Linked DNA regions of Cricetulus griseus. Each later gene encodes a partner of the first gene's protein in a complex. Links are inferred from orthologs where the notes say so. Each region holds a gene or a part of one and is shown on either strand. Other genes may lie near its edges.

Region 1 (3,563 bases):
GTTGTTCTGTTTTGGGGAAGAGGTAAAATTTGTTTTTAATTAGGCTGAAAGCATGTTATATCAAAAAAGAGGTTTTTGCCTTGTTCTAATAGTGCTAAAATAATTATTAAGGAAATGTGAATGTGTAAAGATTATCCTAGGAGAGTCCATATAATAATAAATATGTATATTCATATAAAAAATAGTAATAGTTACGTGGAAAAATTTGGAATTTTTTAAGTGGCGATAGGGTTTTACAACTATGCCTGCAAACTAAACAACCATTATTTTGAAAAGTCTCCTTAAGAATGGACTAGTGTTCCTGGGAGTTGGAACGAGCATTAAGCCTTCATCCGTGCAGCCTCTGCTGAAGCAATTATTCCGAGAACTCTGTTTTCCGCTGGCAAAGTTTCTAAGGAACACAACAATTTTACCACAGCACATGAAGCACACTCTGTCATCACAGATGTACTCCAGACACCTGTGAAAAGATTGCCACACACCTCTGCCGACATCTGTAACTGCAGAGCCTGCTCACTGCCACACAGATGCTTAACTCAGGTGGCCCCGGCCAGCGCTACCAGGTAATGACTGCGGTGAGCGTGGAGGAGACCAGTGAGGCCTCAACTGTGTAAAACTTTAAAATACCTCTTTTTACAGCCTGGCATATAATACCTAGGACTATGCCATATAACAAGGGTCAGAGGGGGGAAAAAAGCAATGAATTATTTGTAATAAGCCTATGTAACCTGACTTGGTCATTCACAGAGCACAGAGATCTTGTGGCTCAGCTGGGGTGTACCCAAGGCACTCGTGGTGTTCTGAGAGCTTCACTGGACTGTGCCATCAGTTTTAAAGCAATACAGTTATGGATGTAAACAAGACAAGAGGGCTACACGGGGAAGCAAGGCCGTCATTGACACATGCTCAGAACTTGACCCCTGGTGGACGCAGTGGGCTTCTCACTGCCAGACATCATTAGGCAGGACAGAAACATCCGGCCTATTTAAAAGTGAATCCAGTCATGGTCATTTACAGTCTGCACCAAGTAATGTGCTCAGCCTCCTAAAGAGAGCGGACACACCCCGTCCTCACCTTCTCCAGGAACGGCTGGCTTGGCTGCTGGGGAAGACACTCTCTTTAGGCTAGCAGGACTTTCGGTAGGGCCAGTATCGATGCTGTAAGAAGGGAAGAAAAGAGTATTTTAACTCTCACCTGAGAATACCAAATGACATTGCTTTTCTCTTTGAAAGCTACAGAAGACCAAAGCTGCAGCAGTCACTAGCAGCTGGGTACGGCCACAGTGAGAGTGCTGGAGGCATGCGTGACCACGCTCACCCGTCTGCTTTGCCCACTCACTACACAGGACACACAAGCTCAATGCAGTCTCTTCAGCACTGACTAGCAGATGTTGTGGGCTATTTCTGCTATCTTTGCATGGTGGAATAATCCAATAGTTCTATGCTACATGCAGACACTAATGAAGAAAGCCATTCATTCATTCTTCCAGTCGATTCCCCAAATGCCTTGTATTTGGTACTGTACTGGGTACTAAGCATCCAGAGTCACAATTCCCAACAGCTGCGGGATTCTTAGACAAGGCAACACAGTGCACAGGCTGCTCAGGAGAACGGGATCCCTTTCCACCCTTCACACACACACTTCATCCTGCAGCTCCCACCAGTGAATCTAACCAGCAGGGACAACAATTGCTAATACTGTTTCCGTCAAACAGAAGCAGATAACAATAAAGTACCTGGTAGCTTTCCTCACGGGCCCTGAAATGAGTTTCACGTAAGACTTGGGGAACCAACCCTTGTGACCTTGAACTTCTCCAAACCACCACATGTCTTGCTGTTCCAGAACGGTGATGACATCGTTTTTGTTAAAATTTAAGTGGTTGTCTTTCTTGGCTCTCCAAGGATACAGGGCTTGCGCTTGTAGCCCCTCCACTTTTTCACCCTGTGTGGGATGACATAAAGGACCCGTGATTACACTGCAGTTTTTTAATCAACCAAGACAGAGACACCGTCTCTGCCTGGCAGGAATGCTAGGCGCCTCGTGGCTTCTCTGCAATTGTTCATTTTAAATGTGGAGATCTAAAAACCCTGCCGGCCGCTCCCAGAGCCCCACCCAGCCTTACTTCTTCAGATGCACTGGCTGTGCATCTTTTATACTTTGATGTAACGGGGCAGACATTTCAGGATTGAATGGTGTTTCAGTTTAGGTGGACACATGAAAACAGGCCATGCACTGGACTGTGCTTGTTTTTTCCCATGATTGTGGACATCGTGGGGTTATAAGGATGAGGAAAACATCACTTCTGCTCCCTCCACATAGTTGGGAATTGGCATTTTATTAACATTAAAGTGCTATAAGAATATCCTCTAGTAATAGGAACTTAGTGTACCAGGAAGAGAGAAAAACAGCAAAATATATCACTTGGAGGAGTGAAACACACTACAGAAAAGTTCTCCTGCCTCACCGTGAGATCAGAGCGGCAAGAAGGACAAAGCCTGCCTTGGAGCACCAGGGACAGTTTCACAGGGGAAGAGGCATTTGAGCCCTGAAGGACGAGAAGGGTTTGAGAGCTAGCACTGCAGAAGGGCACTCCAGGCCAAAGGCAAAGGCCTCGAGAGGAGAGGAAGTGGCAGGGCAGGAGACAAGGCTGCAAAGGCAGGTGAGGCACTTATTATCTACTTAAAAATCATGGCGGCGACTTAAACAACTAAAACAAGCCCCACTTGGATTCTCCACATAAATGGATAAGGAGCAGAAGTTCATGTGCAAGGACAGCTGGTCTGGATCTGTCTGCGATTGACTGAGGTGATTTTTATTTCTGCGGTAAGATCTGACTGCATGAAACAGGAAACTTCTGTGAGTGTGTGTGTGACCTCTGACCCTTGCTCTGCATGGATTCTTACCTCCCTACACCTAAACATTCTGACTTTCTTTCATTTTAGCACCAAGATCACTGTGTTCTCCACCTGTCGCTTCCTACTTGCCCAGTGATCACAGTGCTTCTGCCTTGCCTACTCCTCTCAGCTATGTCAGGACTTCCAGGCCAGAGTGGAAGGGAAGCCATTTGCTCTGTGCCTTTACAAAAGTCTGGGACATCTCCCTTGACACTCCTTCCCTAAATGTTAGGTTCTGAACCAGCCCGAGGTCAGATGAGACTTCAGCACGGGGGCTGAATCCCAGATCTGCCACTTAATAATTAATTCTGCGACACTTGGGCAATGACGGATTTCTCCAAGCCTCAGTTTCTGAAGGCTGTCACAATGTTCAGAAAGACCTGCTATCGTCTTTGCTGTGACTGTGACGAGGCTGTAGTACCACAGTCCCTGGTCCTGAGCTGGGCAGTGCTGCGGCCAGTGGTGACTTTGGTTTCCAGGGAACCCCTGCTTTTCCCTGTCCTGGTCACTGCAGGCCGCTCAATGCACAGGCCCCTCACTTACGCTGACTGACGCGCTGCTCCACTCCTCACAAACCAGCAGAGTTCTCGTGGCTCAACTTCCTCCTTCCTCACAGCACGCTTGCACGCTGCATGACTTTCCCTTTCCTCAGTCACCAAGAGGTTGACT
Region 2 (4,027 bases), on another chromosome or scaffold:
TCAAAAGATTCCTCCATGGCCTTGCTGTCTCCCTATGGTTCTTATTCTTCACCTATTCCCTTTCCTTTCTTTCCTCTTTCGTGTTGGTCATGAACCCAGGACCTCTATACTCTAACGCCGAGCAAAGTCCACCTCCCCAACCTCAGCCCTTGCTTGTTTCTTTATAACCCACATAACCCTCCTGACTCAAGGAGTCTAGTCATTCCACGTGACCTTGGCACCATCTCCACTTCTCTGCGGACACTGGCCTTCCTATCTGTGATAGGGGAGTGCCGGACTCAAGAGTTTTTCGTTCTTTTCCAGTCGACTCTACGTTCTCTGGCTAAATGCTCTGTAATTCAGAGCCAGCCTTTGACTGGAAATTTTAGGTTCTTTCCACCTGTCCCCCTCCAATGGCATAGGCCTGGCACCTGCGGCCAGTTGTAAAAGGACTTATTCATGCTCAATTTCCCCAGTGCACTAGGAGGGAGGGTACCTAAGGGACCGAGAGGAGGCAGCATGAGGAATTCTGCTCGCTACTACCTCCTCTTTGCAAATAATCCCACTTAGAGCATTGAACCTCTACTCCTGAGAAATTCCCATACAAACAGTGCAGTCGCAGACTGGAGGCGGGGGCGTCCTGTGCGCGTGCGTCGGCGCAGAACCCTCTCCCGCCCACGTGCGCGCTCCCGGGAGGAGGCGCGCGCCCCGGCGGGCTGGCGGGAAGGCGCGCGGGAAGCCCCCAGCTGCCTTCTCGGTGTGGGGGGAGGGAGAGTGGGAAGCGTCTGGAACGTTCCACTCTAAGAGAGAGCCGGGGGAATCTTTCGAGCCCCGCTCCCGTTTCCGTCCTTCTCCTCCGCCGATCAATCCATGAAGTTTCCCCCCACTTCTCACACCGAGATCCGGAGCCCCGTGGCGCGGCCTCGCTCCCCCTGAAGCAGGCGGTGGCCAGAAGCGCTTCCCTCTGCCGCCGGAGCGGGGCGCTGTGGCGCGGGCCGGGGCCGGAAATTCCCGCGGCCTGAGTGGTTGGCGGAGCCCTAGCGGGGAGAGCAGCCCCGCCTTCCTCCTTCCCGGCCGGGCGGGGGCGTCGGGCAGCGCGAGGGCCTGGTTGCCCGAGTGGGTGGGGGGCCGCCGCGTCAGCCAGCTGCAGCCGAGCCGCGGCAGGCGGCAAGCGCGGCGACGGCGGCCGCTCCTCCTCAGCAGCCCCGCGAGCCGCGAGCCCCCCAGCGCCCCCGCTCGCGCCCCCGCCCCCTGGCCGTCCCCGCCTCCTTCCCTCACACACCCCCCGGGCCGCCCGGGCCCCAGGCCTTCCCGGCGCTCCTCCTCCCTCTCTCCACACTCTGCTGCGACCCGGGTGCTGCTGCGGTCCTCCTGCCTCGCTGTCTCCGGGGCGAGTTCTCCTCCTCCTCAGGCTCTCCTTTCACACACACACGCGCGCGCCCTGGCTCTCTGGGCCGCCCCCTTTTCTCCAGCCCTCCTCACCCTCACAGTCCTTTAAACGCCGCCGTCGGGGGTGGGCGGAGGATTAATGTCCCTTCAGCATCATGCAGCCGCCGCCGAGGAAGGTAAGGGCGCCGCTGGCGGGGGGCTTTGGAGATCTGGGGGGTGGCGGTGCGTACAAAGAACGCGGCTGGGGCGACCGCTGCGCCCCCTCCCCCTTCCCGCAAGGGGCCGTGACCGCTCTCGCCTCTTGGCTTGTCACTGAGTTGCCGCCTGCTCCAGGCAGGGGGTCGAGTGTGTGAGGTGTCTTTCCGACGGAGGGCGGCCAGTGCTTGTCCACTGCACTAGGGATTACCGCCCCTCCGCCCCGGACATTCGCTAGAGTTTTTTCGGGCATGCATATGTGTGTCTGTCTGCATGGCAGTGTTGCCCAGTGCAAAGTGCTTTCTCGGGGCTGCACAGAGGGGAGGCGGGGGGAGCCCCTGCAGATTTGCAGAGCCCTGTGCGTGTGGGATTGTTTAGTCTGAGCCAGGTTCGAGTCCTCCAGTTGCTTGTCGACACCCCACCCATTGGCACATTTGCGGAGACACGGGGGGGGGGGGGCGTTGTTTTAAGTCTAGCCCCAAAATTTGGCCTGTTTTTCCCACGGGGCTGCGGAAAAGAAGTTGGTACGGTCATCTCCCTCCCACCCCAAGGGAAAGCAAATTAAGGATTGACGGGTCCTGCTCTCCCCCCCCCCCCCGGACGCCCAGCCCCGCCTCCGGCTAAGGGGCCAGGGAAACTGGCTTCCAGTATGAAAGCCAGAACCTGGCGATGCGTGGCTTGAGCACTAGGGCCGGGGTTTGCATGGCCTGGGTGGCAGTGACGGGCCGTACTCCGATGCTTGCCAGCAGCTTACCCTGCTGCGCCGCCCTTCTCCACCTTTCCTGGCGGCTAAGGCTGTGTCCTTGTCTTTGTAAATCTTTCAGATGGATACTAGATATCTACTCTGAGCAGTGGGTAGAGACAGTTATATCTTCCCCTCGTGGGCAAACATTTGCCACATGAGTAACTCAACGTTTGTTTCCTTTCCTTTCCCTTTCTTAATCTGGATTTCTCCAGTTAACTCATTCCCCCACCCCCTTCCCCCTGCACGTGTACCCCACCTCTCCATGTCGCTTTGCCCTGGTGGCCAGAATTCCACCATACTCGAAAACCATTTGCAACCCCCGGGGTCCGGTCTGGCCGGGGAGTCTCCGGCCAGCTGGCTTCGGCGGTTTTCGTTGTTTGAAGTGGGGCTGCCACCTGGCCTGGCTTACTGGGTTAGTTTAAAAGCCCTGCATATTCTAGAAGGTCACTTTTACGTTCTCCTTTGTGAGAAAAAGATTGTGATTTGATGCGCTGTCAGAGTGGAGGGCATCATTCTGAGACGGTGTTCTTTCTAGCAGCCATTATGGAATATTTTATGTAATTTATTCATGCATATTATTTCATGATTGTGTAAATTTCAGTTGCTAGGTATTAGGTACTGTATGCTTTCTTTCATCTGTGCTCACTGCTCCTGGTGGTTAATGTCTGTCTGTGTCTTTGGGAAGAAAGAGAAGACAGAATTGACAGTTTACACTCTTTAAACTGTAATTTTTGAATTTTTAGTCAGCCCCTGTTTTAGAAATTCTGGCAAATTTTTTCATTAATCATAGTTAAGTAGTAAAACTAAGTGGCAAATAATGAATTTTTTAGTTTTTATGGAGAGGAAAACTAGAAGTATACAGTCTAACAAATACTGTTTTCTTTAAGGAATTTTTCTTGTTCAAATTGTAGTAAAAGTCTTCATAAGTACATGTTGTGTTTTAGGTGAAGGTTACACAAGAACTGAAAAACATTCAAGGTGAGCAGATGACAAAACTTCAAGCCAAACACCAGGCAGAATGTGATTTACTTGAAGATATGAGGTAAGATTACAGTAAAGAATTGGAGAACTGTCTCTGCCACTGAGGACTTTTGAGTTGCCAAGCCCCAGGATCTGATGATGGAATTTCCTTTTGGATTTCCTGCTTTCAGGCTGCAGAATTTTGACTCAGCTGGAAGTTAGAACTGGAACTAACACAGTGCAAACTTTTCCTCAGTGTACACATACTACTGAAAAACAGGGCTTTAAGAGTAAGTCTGTCAGTTTGTAATCACTCAACTGAAAATTCTTACATCTTTTCACCAAGTAGTAAGTTATTATTGGCTTTAGCAATTCTACACAGACTTGTAAGCTGACACTTATGGTTAATGGTTAGTATCTGGGTTGCACCAGTCACCCCAGGCAATTTAATTGTTTGTTAAAACACGGCAAGTATAATTTGGTCTAAGTGTGCAATTCAGTGAGATCTATTTGTCATGTTTTATTAAAGCTACCTATATTCATAATCAGGGGATTCTGAATTTAATAGATAAGACATTGCATTCAGATTGTGAAAATGAATGTTATGACTGACTAGTGAGATGGACATGGTGGTACATATCTGGACTCCCAGTAATCCCAGCTCTCTGGAGGCTGAGGTAGGAGGCGTACAAATTCAGGGCCAGCTTGGGCTACAAAGGGAAACAGTTTTTTTAAAAAAGGGAAAAAAAGAGGATATTG

What was found. Proteins that work in one complex are often made in the same cells at the same time.
Region 2: the proteins of Itsn1 (region 1) and Fchsd2 are in contact, whole or in part, in a crystal structure (PDB 6GBU), measured with the Homo sapiens proteins. The link is inferred for Cricetulus griseus from reciprocal best matches to the Homo sapiens genes ITSN1 and FCHSD2. Residues at the interface, in NP_003015.2 of Homo sapiens: Pro1076, Ile1078, Gly1098, Leu1100, Leu1102, Gln1117, Ala1118, Arg1119, Gly1120, Lys1121, Lys1122, Arg1123, Leu1136, Ser1137, Pro1138; in NP_055639.2 of Homo sapiens: Tyr576, Gln581, Thr582, Asp584, Glu585, Gln602, Asp603, Asp604, Asp605, Gly606, Phe607, Val618, Pro620, Val622, Leu623.

The regions. Positions count from the first base shown.
Region 1 is NC_048597.1:5,925,728-5,929,290, forward strand, and holds part of Itsn1 (intersectin-1), read right to left. Parts: intron 1,942-3,563; coding exon 1,736-1,941; intron 1,158-1,735; coding exon 1,075-1,157; intron 1-1,074. UniProt on the Homo sapiens protein: Adapter protein that provides a link between the endocytic membrane traffic and the actin assembly machinery. Acts as a guanine nucleotide exchange factor (GEF) for CDC42, and thereby stimulates actin nucleation mediated by WASL and the ARP2/3 complex.
Region 2 is NC_048596.1:98,440,453-98,444,479, reverse strand, and holds the start of Fchsd2 (F-BAR and double SH3 domains protein 2), read left to right. Parts: upstream 1-1,210; 5' UTR 1,211-1,523; coding exon 1,524-1,544; intron 1,545-3,252; coding exon 3,253-3,350; intron 3,351-4,027. UniProt on the Homo sapiens protein: Adapter protein that plays a role in endocytosis via clathrin-coated pits. Contributes to the internalization of cell surface receptors, such as integrin ITGB1 and transferrin receptor.